Linked DNA regions of Diceros bicornis minor. The protein of the gene in region 1 binds, or shares a complex with, the protein of each later gene. Links are inferred from orthologs where the notes say so. Each region holds a gene or a part of one and is shown on either strand. Other genes may lie near its edges. The genes, in order: RHO, GNAT1 and GNAT3.

What was found.
Region 2: the proteins of RHO (region 1) and GNAT1 are in contact, whole or in part, in a cryo-EM structure (PDB 6OYA), measured with the Bos taurus proteins. The link is inferred for Diceros bicornis minor from reciprocal best matches to the Homo sapiens genes RHO and GNAT1. Residues at the interface, in NP_001014890.1 of Bos taurus: Leu72, Arg135, Val138, Val139, Lys141, Ser144, Asn145, Phe146, Arg147, Val230, Ala233, Gln236, Gln237, Ser240, Thr242, Thr243, Lys245, Ala246, Glu249, Val250, Met253, Met257, Asn310, Lys311, Gln312; in NP_851365.1 of Bos taurus: Ala27, Arg28, Asp189, Leu190, Val312, Glu314, Tyr316, Asp333, Ala334, Asp337, Ile340, Lys341, Asn343, Leu344, Lys345, Asp346, Cys347, Gly348, Leu349, Phe350.
Region 3: the proteins of RHO (region 1) and GNAT3 are in contact, whole or in part, in a crystal structure (PDB 4A4M), measured with the Bos taurus proteins. The link is inferred for Diceros bicornis minor from reciprocal best matches to the Homo sapiens genes RHO and GNAT3. Residues at the interface, in NP_001014890.1 of Bos taurus: Leu72, Arg135, Val138, Val139, Lys141, Thr229, Val230, Ala233, Thr242, Thr243, Lys245, Ala246, Glu249, Val250, Asn310, Lys311, Gln312; in NP_001103452.1 of Bos taurus: Ile344, Asn347, Leu348, Lys349, Asp350, Cys351, Gly352, Leu353, Phe354.

The regions. Positions count from the first base shown.
Region 1 is NC_080741.1:87,791,633-87,798,542, reverse strand, and holds the start of RHO (rhodopsin), read left to right. Parts: upstream 1-3,893; coding exon 3,894-4,449; intron 4,450-6,217; coding exon 6,218-6,386; intron 6,387-6,910. UniProt on the Homo sapiens protein: Photoreceptor required for image-forming vision at low light intensity. Required for photoreceptor cell viability after birth.
Region 2 is NC_080741.1:51,241,004-51,249,088, forward strand, and holds the start of GNAT1 (guanine nucleotide-binding protein G(t) subunit alpha-1), read left to right. Parts: upstream 1-5,076; 5' UTR 5,077-5,118; coding exon 5,119-5,224; intron 5,225-6,521; coding exon 6,522-6,564; intron 6,565-6,670; coding exon 6,671-6,812; intron 6,813-6,906; coding exon 6,907-7,064; intron 7,065-7,153; coding exon 7,154-7,282; intron 7,283-7,542; coding exon 7,543-7,672; intron 7,673-7,976; coding exon 7,977-8,085. Other genes in the region: SEMA3F (semaphorin-3F), read left to right, coding at 177-244, 512-645, 1,311-1,721. UniProt on the Homo sapiens protein: Functions as a signal transducer for the rod photoreceptor RHO. Required for normal RHO-mediated light perception by the retina.
Region 3 is NC_080742.1:18,075,327-18,082,445, reverse strand, and holds the start of GNAT3 (guanine nucleotide-binding protein G(t) subunit alpha-3), read left to right. Parts: upstream 1-4,017; coding exon 4,018-4,135; intron 4,136-7,119. UniProt on the Homo sapiens protein: Guanine nucleotide-binding protein (G protein) alpha subunit playing a prominent role in bitter and sweet taste transduction as well as in umami (monosodium glutamate, monopotassium glutamate, and inosine monophosphate) taste transduction.

The DNA.
Region 1 (6,910 bases):
GCTGGGAGCTCAGATGCATTCTCGAGAGAGATGGCAGTCTGTCATTAAGGAGACAAATAAGACCACTGCAGATAGTGATAAATACAGAGTAGAAAATGAACACTGTGGGTGGGGGCCCTGGTGTGTAGAGGCGGGGATGGGGGGCTCTCCAAGGACATGAGTTATTTGCTGAGCCCTGAACAAGATGCAGAAGAGGGTAACACTTTTAGCCGCACTCACTGGTCACCTTCTAGGAACAGAGCAGGAAACAGGCACGAGGAAGGGAGGGGCCAGGTTGCACCAGGCTGTGTGGCCGCAGAGCCTCAGTCGGGATGTAAGGGTAGCTATGAAGGGGCCGTGCCCAATGAGGGAGGACCAGAAACCTAAATTGTAAGGTCCGAAGTTCCGTGAGCTGGGCCCTGGTGGGGATAGCAGGTCAGGTTTACCCTGTAGATGGGTGTGGATCCCCAAAGTTTCCTAGTCCCAACAAACTGAGACCCGGAGAGGGGACGAGGGGCTTCCTGGGCTCTCAGGGTGACTCAGAGCCACAGGCTAGAGCCTGTGCTGCCCCCTGCCCTCAGGGCCACTGCTGCTGCCCCAGGCCTGTGTGACTCAGTCGAGGGCCCTTTCCACCCTTTCCACCACCCCAGCACAACCCTTTTTTCGTCATTTATACCATGGTGTGAATGACCTGCAGATTATTCCTGAGAGCCGTCTATGGTGTGGGAGGGAGGCGTCACCAGGCAGGTTATAGCCTGGCCGTCACTTGTTTGTCACATGAACTGGGCAACTCACTACAGACTCTGGGCCTCAATGTCCCCACTTGCAAAATGCAGTGGGGAGGGTCAGAGTAGGTGACTTCTAATGACCTTCCAGCTCACTCCGTGAGCCTGTTGCTCTGAACAAAGAGCACTTTTTGTTCTAAAAGCAAATGGTTTGTCATGCCTTACAGAATACAAAGCACCGTCACCTCGGTGATGGTCTTTAACTCCCCATCACCTCGCCCTGTGAGGGTGAGATTATTGAACTCTCTTACAGAGGAGGAACCTGAGACGTAGAGAAGGGAAGTACTTCCTGAGATAACCTAGACCCAGTAACTCGGGCTGCAAATATTCATTGAGTGCCTCCTAAGCGCTAGGCACTGGGCTGCGTCAGTGAACAAACCGACAGAAATGCCAGCGCTTCCTACGACAGGGAAAAAACTTACAGTGTTCCTGCCACATCCTGCACATGCCAGAGCACGTGCTGGGCTCTGGGGACCCTGTGTGAACGAGACAGAGCCAGCCCACCCTTGTGGGCTCCCGTCACAGCCTGGAGATGGACAAAAACCACATGAACAGAACATGAATACAAGCTTCCAGGCTGTCATAAGCATTAGGAGGTGACAAGCAAGGTGCTGAGGACGAGGGCTCAGCCTGGCCAGGGCGGGGCTGTGCGTGGGCCAGTCTTGACTCAGGGAATCCAGTGCTCCCCTGTCCATCTGGCTACCAGGGGCCGTGGCAGAATCAAAGCCTCCACCTTGACCTCATTAGTGTTGGGCCTAATCACGAGGCTAAGCGCCTTAAACTGCGAGAGGTCACACCCCACCAGCCCTGCCAGGCCACGCTCTGTGCTCATTCCATCAACACACATTTCATCCACCCTCCGTGCGCCAAACCTTGACACCACCCAGGACAGAGGGGTGTGGAGCCCCAGGTGGGCTGGAGGGAAGGAGGGCACCTTTTTTTTTTTTTTTTTTTTATAATTTTATTTATTTATTTTTTCCCCCAAAGCCCCAGTAGATAGTTGTATGTCATAGCTGCACATCCTTCTAGTTGCTGTATGTGGGACGCGGCCTCAGCATGGCCGGAGAAGTGGTGCGTTGGTGCGCGACCGGGATGTGAACCCGGGCCGCCAGCAGCGGAGCGCACGCACTTAACCGCTAAGCCACGGGGCTGGCCCAGAAGGGCACCTTTCTGAAGCAGATAGATCTAGGAACCTGAGGAGAAGAGAGACTGGGTGAAAGAGAGCTTAAAGGATGGAAGTCTCGGAGACAGGGACACCTCCCTGTCCAGCCTTGTATTCCCAGCCTCAGGGCCTTTGCACTTGCTGTTCTCTCTGCTTGGATATCTCCAGCCCCTAGATCCTGGCAGGGCTGGCTCCTTCTATCATTGAGTTCTCGGCTCAAACTTCACCTTCTCAGAGAGGCCTTCCCTGGCTGCTCTAGATAACAGTGTCTTGGGAGTGGGTCATGATCTGAACTTTTCCTATCGTTACTTGTTTCATTACTTGTTTGTGGGGCTCTCGCCCCCACAGAATGACACGTCCTGCCAGCAGGGCTTGGTCATTCTTGTCCACTGTGTGCCCCAGAACCAAGCACCTTGTGTGGAACCTGCTTGATACACATTTGTGGCTGGACGGTGGTCATCAAGCGCCTGCATGCCGGGTGCTTCCAGCCACCCCTGCATCCCTGGGCGGTGTCATCATGCTACAGATGGGGGAGCCAGTCAGTGTCGAGCCTCCATTTGCCCCCAGAGCTCGTCCCACTGTCCTGGGACCCACCCTCATGGGGTTACCTGTCACACAGCATCCAAGGCCCTGTGTTCCAGCCCAGCCTGACCAGGTGTCCCCAGATGTGCCCCAAGTGCAGCAGCGTCCAACCAGTCCTGTTTCCAGGGTCCACCTCCCCTCACGCTGAGTCCCCAGGAGGCTGGCTCACTGCAGTGAGCCAGTGCCCAGCACCGGTGTGGCACACAGTACGCCTCTGGCTGCAGAGCCTTGCTTCGGAGCCCTGAGAGCCTCGTCTTCTCCCTGCTTTAGTCACTCCTCCCGGGGCCTCTCCTCCATCCTCACTCCCATCCATCTTCGGGGGCATTTGAGCCACCATTCTGTCCCCGAGATCTGCCCAAGGCATTGCCCACTGCCCTCTGGATGAAGCCAGGTTTCTCAGCTTGGCAGCAAGACCCATCAGAGCTGACCACAGCCCATGTGTGGCCATACCACAGATGGGTCTCAGGCCTGTGCCCAGCCTCTGTCTTCAGTCTGCACTGTCTTCCCTACTTGGCAACCTGGCAAAGTGCTCCCCTCCCTCAAAGACCCAGACGTCGCCTCCCCTGATGCCTCTCCCAGGCAGGCAGCCTCCCCTCCCAGGGCTGGGATCTGTTCTTCCCACATGGCAGTCCTCCTCAGCCTAAGATCCTCCTTTCTTGATCTTTGTATCCCCAGGGGCCTGCACATAAATGTTTGATGAACTAGTGACTTCCTATTCAACGCAGTAAATGCTAATTGAGCTCCTGGGCTATGCCAAGCTGTATGCCTGGCACAGGGAATGCCGTAGCTGGCAGGATGCGGCCCCTGCCCTTATGTGAAGCTCATAATCTGGTGAGAGGGCTAGTGTCAGTGTTCAGTGCCTGGATGATCCAGGAGGAGACTTAGGTGGGGAAGGAATAGGTAAGGGGGTGAGTGAGGGGAGGAGAGACTGAGAGAATAATCAAGGCCTCTGCCCTCCGGGAGCTCCTGGTCCAGTCGGGAGGAAGAAATCAGCTCGCGCTCAGCCAGAGGGAATTGGGCCTGGAGTCGGAGGTTGTGATGCCAGGCTAAGGCCCCCAGGCTGAGTTGGGCAGAGATTCCAGGAGGACAAAAGAGTTGGGGGCCAGCCTCCTGCCCTTTCCCAGGGTCCCCAACGCCTCCCCTCCATGACCCTAGGCTTCTACCTTGTGTGGAACCTGCTCGCTACACATTTGTGGCTGGACGGTGGTCATCAAGCGCCTGCATGCCGGGCGCTCCCAGCAGCCCCTGCGTCCCTGGGCGGTGTCATCACACTCCTGCTACAGATGGGGTAGCTCCAACTTCACCTTCTCAGGCTTGAAGTCTAGAGTCACCTTGGCCCCTCTTGGAGGCCAATTAGGCCCCCAGTTGCAGCAGTGTGGATTAATATGATTAATAACGCCCCCAATCTCCCAGGTGCTGATTCAGCCAGGAGCTTAGGGAGGGGAGGTCACTTTATAAGGGCCTGGGGGGGAGGGTCAGAGCCCAGAGTTGTCCAGCCGGAGCCCTGGGTGGCCGAGCTCAGGCCTCAGCAGCATTCTTGGGTCGGAGCCGCCCACGGGGCAGCCACAAGGGCCGCAGCCATGAACGGGACGGAGGGCCCGAACTTCTACGTGCCCTTCTCCAACAAGACGGGCGTGGTGCGCAGCCCCTTCGAGTACCCGCAGTACTACCTGGCCGAGCCGTGGCAGTTCTCCATGCTGGCCGCCTACATGTTTCTGCTGATCGTGCTTGGCTTCCCCATCAACTTCCTCACGCTCTACGTCACGGTCCAGCACAAAAAGCTGCGCACGCCTCTCAACTACATCCTGCTCAACCTGGCTGTGGCCGACCTCTTCATGGTCTTTGGCGGCTTCACCACCACCCTCTATACCTCTCTGCATGGATACTTCGTCTTCGGGCCCACGGGATGCAATCTGGAGGGCTTCTTTGCCACCCTGGGCGGTATGAGCCGGGATGTGGGTGGGCAGGGGCACAGGAGCCAGAGGGCGTGGAGGGTTCTGGAGATGTGGCTGAGAGGCATTCTCCCCTCTGCAGTCGTCAGCAGCATCCAAAGCCCTCACTTCCTCAATCAGTGAACACCCTGCCGTTTGTTCAGGGCGGGCATTGAACACTATCTCACTCTGAGTGGTGCCCTTGTCTTGTTTTACGGCAGGGAAGCAGGTTGAGAGAAGTCAAGGACCTTGCTGGGGTCACACTGTGGTGAGGGGCAGAGCTGAGTTTCCAGCCCACATCTCTGTGGCCCCTCAGGCGGTGTTCTGTTTCCCTGGGAGCAGCTGTGCTAGATCGGACCCCCGCCAGGCACCGGGGAGAAAGCTGGATGAGACAGAACCCTGTGCCCAGGCTCCCAGCCGGGGTGGGACGCAGACTCTCAGTCCTCCGGTCACTGGACTTTGCCCGGGCTGTCAGTTGATGGCTCAGTCCCTCCCGCCAGGATCTGTCTGACTCCCTTCCCAGCCCACCTCCAGCTTCTATGCCATGCTTGAATGCTTTTTGTGTTGAGGAGCTCATCCCCTTCGAAGAAACCCCTTCCAAGGGAGGCATTAGATCTGTGTGGTGATCCGTAGCTTTGAAAGATGCTTTCAAATATTTTCTTTGACTGGAAAATGAATGGGGGTGCTGCAGAGATAATAGATCCCATTTAGCAGATGAGACAACTGGGGCATGGAGGAGGGAAAAGACTCATCTAGGGGTGTGGCAGGGCAGGGAGCAGAGCCTAGATGTCCTGGCTCAGGAGACACCCAGGAATGTCCTGCTGGACACGTAGCCTCTCAGGCAAGCAGGAGACGCAAGATGTCGTTATTACAAAGCTGGGGAGACTGGGAGAGCCCAGCAGCGGCCACGAGGACTGCTCTGCCTCCTCGTCTTCTCTCTCCCCTCGTGTCCAGGACGCTTCCTCTGCCCCATTCCCAGGGAATCTTTGGCCATCACTGGTGTCTGTCACCTTCAATGACCACAGGTCCCCCGGTCTCAGGCCCGAGGGCAGGCGTTAGGCAGGAGTACCACATACAGGCAGAACCTTCTCTGCAGTGGCAGTCCCAGTGTACAGCTTTAATCCTGGAAAATTCTTGTAGTGTTCCCGTTCCCTCTCAGAAATGTCCCAGTTTGGTTGATAAAGTCTATGGCCACCCTCCCCCTTGAGTTTCTGGGGTGATATGCAGGGCAAATGTCTGAATTCCATTACTATTTCCTCCTTCTTCCTCTGAGCAAAACATTGTCCAGCTTCCTGGATCTAGGAGAGGGTCCACGTGCCCAGGTTGTCTCATTACCCTAGAGGGCAGAGGCCGCCGCTGGAGAGGGAGGGAGAACTTCTGACTTCGGGTTTCTGCTGCCTCTGCCCTGCCTTCAGCGAGAACTCTGCCCGACACCCCGTGGAGGATACAGGCCTCTGTACAAATGCCCTATGGGGCTCCCAGTGCGACCACGTCCCTGTCGTCTGACCTCCGTGTCCCTCGTGACCCAGAGCTCTAACTGAACGAAACTTCCTGGGAGTTACTCTGCTCATCCCCCTCGGCATGCTGGCCCCTCTGCCCCGCACTCCCGTCCCTCCTCTTCTCGGCATCCAAGCCCCCTCCATCCCAAGTCCTCGCTCCAGGCCTGCCCCAGGTTGCCTTCTCCGCCACCCTCCCCCATCTAGGAGGAGCGTTCCCTCCTTAGATGACAGTGGGGTCCAGGCAGGAGGCATATTGACCGGCAGCTGATTGCCTTGCAGGTGAAATTGCCCTGTGGTCCTTGGTGGTCCTGGCCATCGAGCGGTATGTGGTGGTGTGTAAGCCCATGAGCAACTTCCGCTTCGGGGAGAACCATGCCATCATGGGCGTCGCCTTCACCTGGGTCATGGCACTGGCGTGCGCAGCGCCCCCCCTCGTTGGCTGGTCCAGGTAATGGCACTGAGCAGAAGAGAAGGGTCCCCGGGGGTCTTCGTAGGGTCTCCCAGCCAGGACTCAAACTCAGAGCTGTCTGGTTCCAGGCACTGAGCTCACATGCCCCCTGCCCCAAATGCCCACCTGGCAACTCTCCCAGGGGAGGAGTTCAGGGCAGGGGAATAGAGGATCAGACCCTAATGTTGCCAACAGGGCTGGTCCCACCTCCTGAGTCCCCACGCCAGAAGAATCGAAGATGCCCCAACCCTTCACCTTGGCCTTGCCCCTAATCCTCAACTAAGCCAGGGCCAGATTCCAATCCTCTTTGGTCCAGTGCCCCATAGGCAGCTCCCTCTGACCTTGGGCCTCTAGGAGGCCGAGCCTTCCTAGAACAGGTGGTAACATTGTAGCCCCTGGGAACTGGGTCCTGTCCAGCCTCCAGGCCATTGTCTCCAAATGAGTCTGAGATGACAGATGGGAGGACAGGGCCCGGCCTGGTGGCATAGTGGCTAAGTTCACGCACTCCGCTTTGGCAGTCCAGG
Region 2 (8,085 bases), about 37 Mb from region 1:
GATCCTTGGAATTTTAGCCACCAGATGCAGAGCCCTGTCCTGGGAGTTTGGAGGTGGAGGCGATATTATGCTGGGGGAGTCTATGGGTGAGACATCCTACCCTGGAGTCTTGGGGGTACAGGAACCTGGGGGCAAGCTCCCTTGGGAATACTCCTTCAGGAGCTTTCCTTATCCAGGCGGAGCCGCCGTCAGGACGTCCGGCATGGGAACCCCATCAGGCAGTGCCGTGGGTTCAACTCCAACGGTGAGTGTGCTGTGCCTCAGTGCAGAGCCCCGGGTGGCCCACCAAGCTGCTCCCAGGGCCCCCACTGGAAGGATTCTCCCATGGTCTGCGGGGATGAGGAGGCTTAATGTTTTGCAGTGGGATGTCCCTAGCTACCCCCTCAAGAAGTGGATGCCCGATGGCTCGGCCCTGCCTATATGAGTGGGTGTCCTGTATGTGCCCCTCAGCGCCTGCCCCTTGTCAGGCTGCAGTCTGCCCAGAGGCAATGCTGCTTTTCTTGTTCTACAGCCAACAGGAATGCCATGGAGTCTGTGCAGTACGGCGTGGCGGGCAGCGCGGCCTTCCTTGAGTGCCAGCCCCGCTCGCCCCAGGCCGCTGTTAAGTGGCTGTTCCAGCGAGAGCCCAGTGACCGGCGCCGTGAGGTGATTTCCTGTGCCCCACAGTCCTCACCGTGGATGCAGGAGTCCCTTGTACAGTAGAAATTCCACATGGGTGAAATGTGGTATAGAGGCCAGTCTAGGGCAGCCCTTATTCTAAGAAAGCCCTTCCAAGCTCCCGTCCCTACATGGAAATCATTTGAGTGAATCTAGTTATATGGAAACGCTGTAGTTTCCATGTTATATGGAAACCATTTATGGGCATGCCTCTTTGCATGAAAATTCCATATGTGTACTCCATTGGAAGTACACCTCATTGTATGGAAACGTCGTGGGTGAGTTCCAGTATATGGACATTCTGTGGGGTAGCCCTCATTTTATGGAAATGCTTTCCAGGCATTCCTCTTTACGTGAAACTTTGTGAGGGTTCCCCAATTGAGTATTCTCATAAAATAGAAATTTCTGTGTGTATGCTCCAAAATTCTCTCATTGTACAGAATCCCCTTATGGTCACCCCTTCCGAAATGGAAATGTGTATGGATGCCTTATTCAGATATTATGTGGAAACTTCATGTAGGTTTTTCTTGGTATATGGAAATTCCACATGGGTGCCCCTATGTGGATTGGCCACAAAGTGGTCTGATCTGGGAGCTGGCTGGGGCAGCAGGATGGTAACACAGCCCCTGAGCCCCCACCCCCTGCCCCTGCAGATCCGTGCAGAGGACCGCTTCCTGCGCACAGAGCAGGGCTTGCTGCTTCGTGCCCTGCAGCTTGGGGACCGCGGACTCTACTCCTGCACAGCTACTGAGAACAACTTCAAGCACGTCGTCACACGGGTGCAGCTACATGTACTTGGCCGGGATGCTGTCCATGCTGCCCTCTTCCCACCGCCAGCCACGAGCGCCCTACCGCCTGAGGGCGCTGGTGTCCCCACGCCCCCTTACCAGGAGCTGGCCCAGCTGCTGGCCCAGCCAGAAGTGGGCCTCATCCACCAGTACTGCCAGGGCTACTGGCGCCATGTGCCCCCCAGCCCCAGGGATGCCCCAGGGGCACCCAGGCCCCCTGAACCGCAAGACCAGAAAAAGCCCCGGAACCGCCGCCACCACCCGCCGGACACATGAGGCCAGCTGTCTGAGCCCTGCCATGGGCCAGCCTAGCCCTTGTCCCTTTTAATATAAAAGATACATATATATATATATATATATATATATATATATATATATATATATAAAATATATATATATTCTATACACACCTTTCCCCTGCAAAGACAGTATTTATTGGTGGGTCGTATATAGCCTGCTTCAGTGGCAGCATCGTCCAGAACTTAAACCCATGCTGGTCAGAGACCACAGAAAACAGAGCCCAACTAACCAGGCCCCACCAGTTGGCAGGGCCAGGCCAGGACCAGACAGTCCCCAGACTCAGCTAGGAGTCTACCTGCTCGACAGCCACTGCTGGGATCTACAGGACATGGAGGGAGCAAGCTCTACCTGGACAGGGCATGAACTGTACACCTTTGTCAATGTGTGCTGTCAACCTGTGGCACTGGCATGGATGTGGATGCAAGGACTGCTTTGGAGACTGGGAGTGGGGTGGGGCTCAGATGCACTCAGAGAAGGGAAGAAGGGGTCGTCACAGGATGCTCACCCCTGCCTGGGACCAGGGCACTCAGTCAAGGCCAGCCCCTTCCTGGGTATTTATTCTCTATTTATTGGGGACAGAAGAGCCCTGCTTGGGTGGTGCAGCAACTCCAGCCCCTCCTTCCTCCCTGCCTGGCCACTCTACCTCCTCTTTGCTTTTTCTGGGCCACTGTGACTTGGGGGCTGGGAGAATAGCAGAGAGGCCAGGTGCAGGCAGGGCTGGGGGGGAGGGGCATAGTGGAGGCTTGGGGCCTGCAGGGGCTCCCTAGGGCTCCCTTCTGCCCACTACTTCAGATGATAGGTGTAAATAGCTTTGGGGGGCAGTTGGGTAGGTGAGTGGGGGCTCCTGGTGGCCCACTGCTCTCTAGGCCACAGCCGCCCTTGGGTTCCATCTTGCTAATAAACAATGGCTCTTGGACTGGGCTTTGGCTTTTCTCCTTGGCAGAGGAGGGAGGATGGGGGTTCAGCCCACACCCAGATTTTGTCCCTCCTGCCCCCCCCACCATGTGGGCCACATGGCCCACCAATTCCCACACTCTGTTTTGCAAGCCCAGCTTCCATTTGCTCATTCAATTGTTTGATCATTTAGTCAATGTTGCTTTCTCACCTGGCTTTCTGTCTGGCTTTGTGCTGGACACTAAGGACTCAGAACTGGTAAGACAAAGCCATAGCCCTCACAGTCCAGCTGCCTCTGCCCTGAGAGTCGACAAAATCCTCGTTCTTCCTGCCTACTTCCAGCCAGCTCTTAGCAGAATGCCCAGCATGAGCAAATGTCCAGAGGTGGGGAAGACCAGGAGGAGAGGTGGGGAGCTGCAGGAGAGAAGGAAGTGGGGCTGTGGGCCCTGAACCAAATTCACAAGTCAAGCCCTGGCAGGGGGAGCTAAGAGCTGGGGAGGTTATGGATCCATCAGGGCTTAGGGCCATATCTGGCAGGTAAGGGGAGCCAGGTGGAGACTGGGGGGCAGTGGATTAGCCCCACTACTTTAAATCAACCCAATATATAGAAACCAGGTTTTCAGTGGCTTAGCAAACCTGGGCTCCTGTATCACCCCAAAACCCTGGGGAATGTAGAAGGGGCTGCAGAGACCCCCAGAGCCCACTTACAATGTGGGAGGTGGAGGATGGATGGAACCTGAAGGCTGAAAGTGGCACAAATGATCTGTTGCTACTGGAGAGATCCCCTCTCACCCAACAGGGTAGATGATGAAGCCACCAACCCATAGCAGGAGCCAGTATCCACTTCCCACATGTTTAGGGACAGTCTTCAATTCTCAGTATCTGGGGCCCTGGCACCCCCTCATGGTCTCTCGTGTCTGCAACAGAGTCGAGTACTAAAAGGCAGCCAGGTTTCCAGGAGGGAGTCCAGCCAGGAGGCCGTGAGAGCCCAGGATTTGGGTCTTCTGATGGGAGGTGGGAAATCTCCAGAGCCTGTGAACTCAACACTACGGCTCAATGGAACCACTTCCACCCAGGAGCCCGCCCTGTCCCATCCGAGCCCACACACAGACCCCTGATACTGAAGCAGGCATGCACTAGAGATACCTCTAGGCAGGTCCCAAGCACCCATGAGGGACAGAACAGGAGCAGAGCAGATGAGCTCCACTACTCTGCCCCTGAGAGCACCAGACCTGCTCTGGGACTGTTTCCCTATCTGACAACAGGCCTGCAAAAAATTCTCTGGAGGAGCCTGGCCACTTCTGCAGGTCAGAGACTTTGTTGCACTCGAGTACACATGTACACACAGGCACATGCAAGTATGCACACATACAGGTATACACATGCATAAATGTACACGCACACAGGAACAAACAGGCCAGTGCGTACTAACATGCATTGCACATGAACATGCACATATGTGTTCATGCACACACGTTAATCCACACAAGAACGGCAATATATGCATACAAGCACTGTGCACATGAAGAGAAATACACAAAAGCACACCCGCACGTGTGCATACACATGCACTCACAAAAGAACAAACACACAGGCACATGTTGTACACACAAGTATACAGTGACAAACGTGTCATGTCATTGCCTTGCTTGGTGCCAGGAAAGGATAGACACACACACCCAGGCACACAGCAGACATGCACGCCCACCCAAGTCCGTTGGAATCATGGAGGCATGTAGAGGCCCTGCCCAGGTCAGATCCGCCCTTGGTACGGGACAAATGCAGGGTCCACCTTTCCCTCTTGACTCCCTGCAGAGCTCTGGTCCAGAGTCACCCAGCCCTTCTCAACCAGCCCCTGGTGTATGACTCTCTGAGCCTCCACTTCCTTAACAGTAAAATGGAGCTGATGGTGGGGCACCCACCCCCCAGGGCCAGTGTGCGCTTACAACAAGATAAGCAGCGCTGAGCCCAGTGCTGGGCAGGGGCCAGGTGCTCTGTGCATGCTTCTCCCTCTACTCCCCGCTGCCAGCCCCACCCCTATTGCTCCCACTCCTGGGGCTTGAGGCCCTATCCTCCCCTTTCAGAGTTTGGATCCTACTGAACATGTCTCCCTGCTCTGGGGCAGGGGCTGGACTGTCTCCAGGGTCTTTCCTGGAGTGTTAGTGGGAGAGGGTAGAGGAGAGTGCCGAGTCAGCAGTTGAGGGATTGGGGCCATGCCAGCCCGATTAGAAGGGCAGGGGGCTGAGCTGGATTCACCTGTCCTTGTCTCTGATTGGCTCTTGGGTACCCCCAGCTCCCAAATCCTACTAAGCAGCCCCACCAGGGCCTGCACAGGTCTGTGGAGAGCCAGTTGATTGCCAGTCCTGGGGCCAGAAGGGTGTCTGTGGAGGCCAGAGGCTGGCCTGAGCCTGGCTCTGGGGATCTCCTCCATCCAGAAGAGCCAACTGACCACCCTGTTCTTTTACCTGCTGCCGGGACCATGGGGGCTGGGGCCAGCGCAGAGGAGAAGCACTCAAGGGAGCTGGAAAAGAAGCTGAAAGAAGATGCTGAGAAGGATGCTCGAACCGTGAAACTGCTGCTTCTGGGTAGGGGTGTGGGCCCAAGTGGGGCTATTGCCACCAGGTCAGAGGCCCGGGGGCAGGCACGTGGCCCTTCTGTGAAGCAGGGCTCATTCTGGGAAGCAGAATGAGCCTGTGACAAGGCAGGGAAGAGAGTGGGAGCCCTGGCCAAGCAAGGGCAATAGGCGATATCCTGGTTCCCCAAGGCTGGGTATCCCACAGAACCCCTCTCTAGAGGGCCCTCCCTCAGATAGCCTCCCCTCGGGAGGAGTGTGTGCCAACCACATTTTTGTACCAGTGTGTGTATGAGGCACACTTGTGCCCTGGCTGAGCTCCCTCAGGCTTCAGCCTTCTGCTTGATGGGCCTGCTGGGCAGGGCTCAGAAACAAGGGATCTCCTTGGTAGCCCCGTAGTAGGGCTGCTCCTCTTGGGAAGGACAAGGTCACAGTCCTCCTGGGATTGGGTAGCCTCTAGGACTGCCCAGATCCACAGACAATGACCCTCAGTTTCCAGAGCTTTACTGTTGGCAGACCTGCAAAGCAGCTAAACAGGGTGGAGGGGTACTAATGCCCAGCGGGGAATAGATAAAGCCATGTCCCTGGTCCCACAGGTAGTGAGGGGAGATGGGGCTGACCCAGTGCCTTGAAGCCACTGCCTTCCCCCAAGGAGAAGAAGGAGCTGCTTTGAGAGGGCAGTGCAGGCTCCCTCCAGGCTCTCCAGTGTCCAGTCAGGCAGCTGGATGTGGGCAGAGGGACCAAGCCAGAGTATCCCAGGGAGGACACAGAGGCTAAGCCAGAAATCCCATTAACTGTGCCCAACGCCCTCGCGAGAGCAGGCTCAGAGAGGCTGTCAGTTCTGTCCTCTCCCCCACCCAAAGGCGCAATTCCCTTTGAGCCTCTTGGAGACACTCCCCTCCCACCTCAGGAAAAGCAGGAGTTGACCCGGCTCAAATAATCTCGTGCGTGCGGTACCAGAACTCTTCACAAGGTGGCGCTCCAGGTTTTCTTTATTTTGGTCTCAGAAAAATAAAGATTGCGTATACCAGGATCTTGGAAGCTCCCCAGCACTATTGAGGTCGCTGATGCCCCTCGTCAGCCCCCTTCTGTCCCTCCTGATATTTACAAACGTTTTTCCGCCAGGGCGTCAGGACCCGGGTAGGGGGAAAACAGGCCGGACTGGGGGCTTGGGCTAATGCCCTGGGTCCGCCTAGCCATCTTCTGGGCTTCGCTGCGGGGAGGGGGAGGGGGGGTGCGGGGAGTGGGGGAAGGCGAGATGGGAGGGAGGTACGGTCGGCGGGGCTCTGAGGCGGGGGCTTCCCTTCCAGGTGCAGGTGAGTCCGGGAAGAGCACTATTGTCAAGCAGATGAAGTGAGTGCCCCTGCCCATCCCAAGGACCCCGGGGGTGGGCCCGCGCACGGGGCCTGTCCTTCCCCACCTGCCCACGAGGCGCTGACCCGGTTCGCCCCGCCCGCAGGATCATCCACCAGGATGGGTACTCTCTGGAAGAGTGCCTCGAGTTCATTGCCATCATCTACGGCAACACGCTGCAGTCCATCCTGGCCATCGTGCGTGCCATGACCACGCTCAACATCCAGTACGGAGACTCTGCGCGCCAGGTGTGCCAGGAGGCGGGCTGAACAGGGCCTTTGGGGACTGGAGGCCCAGGGTTGGGCCCACGGGCAACACCAACCACTCACGCCCTGCCCCCAGGACGATGCCCGGAAGCTGATGCACATGGCAGACACCATCGAGGAGGGCACGATGCCCAAGGAGATGTCAGACATCATCCAGCGGCTGTGGAAGGACTCGGGTATCCAGGCCTGTTTCGAACGCGCCTCGGAGTACCAGCTCAACGACTCCGCCGGCTAGTGAGTGCGCAAGCGGGGCGAGGGGGCGCGGGCAGGGCCCTGCCACACCCCTCCACCCAACCCCACCCACTCCCCGGGGTCTCCCGCAGCTACCTCTCGGACCTGGAGCGCCTGGTAACCCCGGGCTATGTGCCCACTGAGCAGGACGTGCTGCGCTCGCGTGTCAAGACCACGGGCATCATTGAGACGCAGTTCTCCTTCAAAGACCTCAACTTCCGGTACGACCCATGCCCTCGCTCTCACTCCGGGGGCTTGCTGGCGAGTTCACCGCCCCGAGGCCCGGTCCCGTCCCGGACGCCCCATCCGGGCCGTACAAGATACTCTGCCCCTTCTCGGATACCCTGCCTCCAGAAAGGCCCAGCCCTCCAGATGCCAGTCCCCTCTGAGTGCCCCCCAGCCTGCATTAGGAGGCGAGGGGATGCCTATAGGTGCGTCCAGGGGGCTCGATACGTGGGTTCAGGCGCCAATGGCCCTGCAGGATGTTCGATGTGGGCGGGCAGCGCTCGGAGCGCAAGAAGTGGATCCACTGCTTCGAGGGTGTGACCTGCATCATCTTCATCGCGGCGCTGAGCGCCTACGACATGGTGCTAGTGGAGGATGACGAAGTGGTGAGTGCCAAGCAGAGCCTGAGTGTTGAGGGGGGAGGCGGAGCTGCTGGCCGAGGGCAAGCGGGAGACAGTGCTGCGCGTGCGGGAGCGTCTGAGAGGGGACATTCGTTCCAGAGCTGTGTGAAGGAGGAGAGAAGGCAGCCAGCAGCTCCGCTGAGGGGGGTCGTGGGGGACTTGGAGCTATCGGAGCGGAGAGGCCCCGGGTGTCCCAGAGCCCAGAGAGGAGCGGTTGGCTCGTCAGCAGCGGCCGCATGGGGACGGCTGCCCTTGTCCCCCCGTGCCCGACAGCCTCTGCCCTCCTCAGAACCGCATGCACGAGAGCCTGCACCTGTTCAACAGCATCTGCAACCACCGCTACTTCGCCACCACGTCCATCGTGCTCTTCCTCAACAAGAAGGACGTTTTCTCCGAGA
Region 3 (7,119 bases), on another chromosome or scaffold:
GAGGAAATTTAACCTGGCTCCGTCAGACGAGTTAGAGTGGAATAGGGCAGAGGCCAGAATCAGGAGACCTAAGGAGGAGGTGGTTGCAATAATCAGGACTGAAGTGACTGAGGAATAAAGTTAAGGGAGTAAGTAGTGGAAATGTTGTGTTAATGAGACATATAAAAAATATTCTAAAGAAGATGGGATTTGGGGCAGGGAGAAGCCTTTTGGGAAATAATTATGACTCATCTTCTTTGTCATTTAGGCATGTAACATTTTTTATTTCCAATAACCATTATATATAATCATATCCTAATCCATAAAAATGTATGTAGAATAAGTAAAGGCAGAAATCAACTCCAATGAATAAAAATGCCTATTTGTATTACCTCTTAAGACATAATCGCTGTTTAATGCTGGCATTGTACACTTATTGCACCATCCGACTGTACTAACTTGAAACAGCAATGTCTGCCGTATTCCCTCAAGATCAGAAGACCGGTCTCAGAAGTCACCAAAGACATGAATCTCTGAGGGAAACACCACCCGCAGAGCTCCCACAAGCGCATATTTGAGTACCATTAGGAAAGGAGGGATGATTTGCCTCAAACTTCATGGGAATATGCAAGGATAAAAGTTATTGCCAAGGCAGCCAGGACTCAAACCACCCAGGGACCCAATGCTTGAAGTCAACACCTCCTATAAGATACGGGGGGGAAGAAAAAAAAGACTAACACAATTAACAGCCTGTGTTGACAACTTCAAGAAGGAGCTGAACCACTGAAGCCACTTATTGAAGTCAGCCACATGTCACATTCTCACGGGAAATCCAGCTTGACGACTGCAAAAGCCCAGGTAATACTGGCAAAAGAGACATCTCCAAAACACGGGTTGAAATCTCAATATTAACAGCAGATGGGAAATAATCCTATGTCATCTCAAGCTAGATGTTGAATTATAAATGTAAAATGTGGTTCCTCAAACTTTTTAAAGGCTAATGTCCTCTTCTGAAGATTCCACAGAGACCCTGACCAAAAGTAGCAAAAGGAAAAATTATTCACATCATGCCATCTTGTGGCATTTCAGTGACCTTTACAGCTGAGGGCTCACTCTCTGTGTTTTAACTCAAGTCAATTTTCCTTCTGGTGCTGAAAGAAGATGTTCCCAATCAGGCTGATGCTGTGACAGAAAAAGAAACAGGCAACAAGGTTCTTAGAAGTTGTTCTAAGTGATTATTCTAAAAGACCAATTACTCCAACACACTGTCTCTTGCGTTGTGTGTGTGTGTGCAGAGCAATCTATCTCTCTTAGCTGGCCAACTATAGAACTCTAACACTGACAGTGCCTTGGATAGCTTTATGTTTCTTGTTTTCAAGAACACACAAAATTTATGGCCACATTTTTCCCTGAATTAAAAGCACCTAATTTAGTTACCTTTCCTGTTGTCATCTTCTATCAATTTTCCCTCACTATGGAGCAAGGTTTAGCAATAGAAAGGGAGTGTGCTGTGTTATTTTTAAGACTGAGGAAAAAAAAGCATAAATGTGGGCTAACAGTTGTAATTGTATATATTGACACTATTTCAGACTAAAATTGGGCTTTTTCATTGAATTTCTGAGTCACTCTAAAATTTCTAGGGTGGTGAGATAGACCCGCTATGACACTGAACCTTAGAAACAAACCTTAACTATCATGTCACCTCAGCAGAGCACAAGGAAGAAAAAGACTCCAGGTGTCTACCAATTTATTAGCAAGAAATAATTTTTGAACATTTCCTATGGCCAGCACTGAGACAAATATGTGGAAGACATCCAAGCGAATAAGACATTGCCCCCATTCTAGTGAAATTTATTATTTCATTTTCATCATTTTCTCAGGTCCAGAAAGCTATAATCCTAAGTGAAGCAACATGGACTAATAGCTGTATTAACAACCACAGCTCATTAGTGACGCTGTATCCCAGGCACCCAGGGGAGAGGGCAGAGAAGGGAGCCTTTCCCTTCTCTCTGGCTCTCCCCAGCCTGCCTCCCTACATATAGACACACCTTGAATTTTATGTCAAGATGATTTTAGTCACTGATGAAAAAATCACATAATAGTCTAATAAAGTTGATGACTGAATGTTCTGGGTTACACAGAAAAGCGGAAGTTCGTAATTTTATGCAGTGCAGAAAATGTACACTTCTACTCCTGAAAGAGTTGGTCAGTTTTAGTCAGTAATCCACTTAGGAAGTCTTGGAAAACACACGCTCTTTCAAATCCAAGGTATGCCCCTGCCAGAAAGATATGGGTATATTTACTTAAATGCAAATTATACGAAGTATCTTGTCAGTTCATAATTGCTTTGGGACGTACAAGAATCTTGTATATTCAGGGTACTATCTATGTATATTCAATTTTGATATAAAAACCATAGGCAAAAAGAGATTTATTTTAATGTTTGTGTTCTTTTGCGTTGTTATCAGAGCAGACTCTGTGTTTTGGGATGAGTAAAAATAAATTAGACAGCACAAATCATGTTCCTTTGGGACAGGGCCTTTGCATTGCAAAAGCAATACCACATGATTTGCATGAAGCCTTGCATATCTACTTTTCCACATCTTTATACTATCATAATATGGCTTTGGAGGGATGAAATCCAGAAAGTTTTGACTATGCTTACATATCTACAGCCTCATATTTTATGTGAAAAAGTAAACAAAGCAGGAATATGTATTTAATTTGGCAGCCTATTTCCTTGTTGTATGAATATGCAAAAACCCACCTGTTCAGACTTTGCACATGATCCCACAAGAAGATCAGCACTGACGTGTTGAAGGACTGACTGCATTCTAGCATTTCCTGGATAGGCACATTCACAAATCCCAAAATGCACATTGAAAGATTTGCCTGCTGCCACAGGTAGCCAACTCTGTTTATAAGGAAAATATTCATTGACTACCTAAAAAGTGTTTTATGCTTCCTGTAAACAAAATCTTGTACTTCATAATCTCTGTCCGCAAGCTTGTAGATCTTCAAGAAGTACATGATATTTATTGAGGCAGTTGAAAGGCATGAAACATAGTTAGTTCTTACTTTTCAGGAAGCACCAAATTACCTACCATTTCAAAGAACATTGCTTTTTATTCTCTTGGTACCAAATCAATAAAAGTCCTTCCAGCACAGCAGCTGTTGCTTAATGGCCCCAAAGAGTTAACGCACTGTCTAAAGTGAACACAGCTCAGTGTCTACACCAAGTGGGCCCTCAATTAATGTTGATGGACTAACATTCTCACAAGCAGTAAAAGCTTAATTTATAGAGATGGATTTTATGAGACTAAAATCAATAATTTAAGAGCCTTGTGTGTTGAATCCTATGTTTGTGGCGATACCACATGTATATATGTAAGAACTACATTTATGTGTTTCCATTTTTTAAAAAAGATGTTTTCTAGTTAACTGACAGGAGATTCTTGACAATTTTGAGTCATAATCTAAGCATAGCATGACTATAAATTTATAGTCATTGTAGATGACTATAAACGATTCATTGTAGATATTCTGATAGTGACATTAGAGTGATTATGAAGAATTTGCAAACTCACATATCTGAAGATGCAAGCTTGTTGATTAGTAATAACTTTAAATCACAGTAACAGAGCTTGTCTACTAGTGAGAAACATTCCATTTGAACTGCTCATTGCAGAGTATCTTTAATGTGTAGATTGTGATGACGTTCTACCTTATTGTATGCTATTCTTTAAGGAAAATGAGCAAATTTTTGAAGATGTGCCAGAAGTGGCCATCTAATTTGAAAGCATAATGAATTCCCTCTTTAGCTTCCAACCATACAACCATAGGGTTATATGGTTTACCCTTTGATCAGGTGACAGCTTAGAAAGCATCTCCTTAGTCAAAGCAGAATCTTAGAGAGGGAGGGAGCAGGCTGTTGGGTACTTCAGCAGAGCACTGTTCTTGCATCCTACGTCCAAACCAGAGCCGTGCTCTATGTTTGACAAAGTTTGAGCAGATAAACTGACGAGTATCTAACACAAGATGGGAAGCGGAATTAGTTCAGAGAGCAAGGAGTCAGCCAAGAGATCAAAAGAACTGGAGAAAAAGCTTCAGGAAGATGCTGAGCGAGATGCAAGAACTGTCAAGTTGCTGTTATTAGGTAATATTTTTTTCCCTTTACTTTCAAAACCCTGTTGTTTTTGTCAATTGTGATGTATTTACTTTTCTCAAACTTTAATTTCAAGTGTATTACCATATGAGAGATTTATTATAAAAATGTGTTTGGAAATTTAAATAGACTTTTTGTGTGCTCTATAAATATTTACTGATTTTTTTTGTTTAGTGTTTTATTACATGTTCTTTTGTTAAGCAGAGAGACAGATATTTATTAGATGATACAATTTCTCTGTCAATAATACAAGTTACTATTATTAAAAGAAAAGTCAGATACATTTATTATTTTATTGCACCTTAATCATTTCCTGAATGTAGCTTTTTAATACTGAAAACAATCCGTTAATTTCAAGTTATAAAGATTTATGTTATTTTGTTCAAACAGAAATATGTCAAGCTGTTTGATATCAAAGTTAATATGTTACTTAATTACTTGCGCTGTTAAAATTAATGGGTCTCAAGTTATTTAGAGAGTAATGATACGATACTTTAACTTTTATATTAACAATATTATTCAGGCTTCTGAAATACTATTCTGCCTGTGATCTTGTCTGCATACTTGAAAAATACTCCATTTAAATCCTTTTAGGATATTTATATATTCATTCAGGTCAAGAATTATGTCTCTTTTATCTTTTCATTCCCTCAAAACTCAGCACAATGTTTTACCACAACTATAAATTCAATAAATGTTCAATGAATTGAAAGATAGAAAATAATCTGTATATCACACATTTTCCTAAACATAAAAAATTTAACATGTAGTGGTCACTGGAAGATAAATATAGTTTTGAAATAAGAATAAAAACCTATGAAAAGAATATAAAACAAAAACTTTAATCATAGCTGTGTGTTCCTCCTGCTCTTAATTATACACAAAAGGACTTCATTTTATTTCAGAATTGTGAATCTTGCACTCAACAAAATGTCTTCACTTTTTTAAGTGCCCCTTTGTTGTGTCTAATTTGCTCCCAGTGGCAAGAGTGTCTCAGAAACCAGCTGTGGGATTCCCAGCACCTGATCGTCAAAGGAAAGGAAATGTTCTCTCCCTTTGTGCACGAGCTCTGTGGCTGCACACTTGCCCACAGCACTGGCAAGTAACCACCTAGATAGAGGTCGGTAACTTACAAAGCAGCCAGCTCTTATGAAACCAGTAAATACACTTTCCCTAACACTCCAGAGTATTCTTTGAGGCTTTGATCAAGAGTGAAATTAATGTGAACATAGAAAATGCAAATAAAAGGTGAGAGGGACAGCCGAGCATTCCTACAAATGCATTCTGTGTCCCTCTTTGTATAGGAATAGTGATAAAATACATAAAAATCCTCATGTTTCAATAAAATTTCAAAAGAATAGAGATATTTTCAACATACCAACTATTTTTAGATTAAAGTGGGTTTGATCAAGAAGAAAGGGTAGCTTTTCGAACCAGAGATACAAAAGACTCATTAGTGGTGTTATAACATCTTTTACTTTCCCAAGACAATCACAATTACATAAATTCAGTTCCAAAGTTACCATACCGTATGCTTGGATGTATTTGGTTCCAACAATATGTGCACTGAACTTCTCAGTCACATCTTATTTATACAAAATAAATCAAATTCTCTTATGATTTTCCTATTTCAATTGTGTTCCAAACACTGGACTAAGTTTTCCCTCCTGGACTCTATTTGAGTTCTTTGTATGATGATTCAGTTGTCAAGTTTAAAACAACAAAGTCTTGTAACAACTCTGCTTTGATTCTTATTTTTGAATTGAACTCAAATTTCTAAACTGTAATTTTTATATTCAAATTGGCCTCATTAAGACATAAAAGCGTTCAGTGGAACTAAACTAAACCTTCCCACCCTCCCACCCTCAAATCCCCTCACTAATGAAATCTTTTTAATTTCTCCCATCATTGAAACAGTGATTTTCATTCCTCAGTGTAGTCTGAACAAGAGTTTTTAACTTATCAATGAGCGTATGTCATGTAATGATCAGATCCTGAGTCTAACTCTATTTTTATAAAAATTAGAAAGCAACAAACATTTTTGGCAGAATTCATTCTTTATGCTGATCCTCTTATTATCTGATGAATTTCCAGGTGCTTATACACATAGCACAACTTTCCAAATTTAACATGTACTGTAAGTAGGTGTACCATTTTGTGTCATTGGACACAAGATTTCACTGACTCTGAAGAGCTATCAAAGTGTGACTTTGCAAAGCAAAGATCACCTTGCAGACATATTCCTTCTTTACTATGCCTTTCAGACATTCAGTAAAATTACAGAAGAGATGCCCTATCTTTTTCTTTAGCAAAAAGCAGGCTTCTAGGAAACACTGGAGATGACTCATGTGCTCCTGGCACATTTGATAACAGCTATCAAGACAGTAATGTCACGTGCTTTAAAAAAAATAGCTCATAAAGATGTCCCGGAAAGAGTACATTTTAACAAGAAAAACAAATTCTAATGGATAAGATGTTCTCTTTTGCAGAATTCTTGTTAGTTTTTTTAGTTCTTAAATTATTAATGTTTGATTAAACTTTAATTCTACTCAAAAGAAATACCTGCCATTTAATTATGGAATCACTATGGATCATGTCTCCATTTTTCCTGTCTCGTCTTTTTATATTTGTTATTTCAAATTTCAGTTTGAATTTATTTATTTTACCACATTACTTTCTTTTGTACTTTTACAAATTTCCACCACATAAGCTGGTTTGCGATTCAAAGCTTGATAGGAAGTATAGGGAAAAGCTAAGCTTTGTGTTTTCTTCATATTTGAAACTCTGCCACTCACTCCACGTTCTTAGTGATGGTATTGTAACCAGCTTTGGCTGGTGATTTCCAGCGCTGTCATGGATGGTTAGTCATTGGTGTTCTCTTCCTTTAGTTCTAAAATTTTTTGTTCTTTATTTTTCTGTGTGCTATATTGTAACATCACACTGTTATTTTTTTTAATGGTGGCATCTGAGTTTTA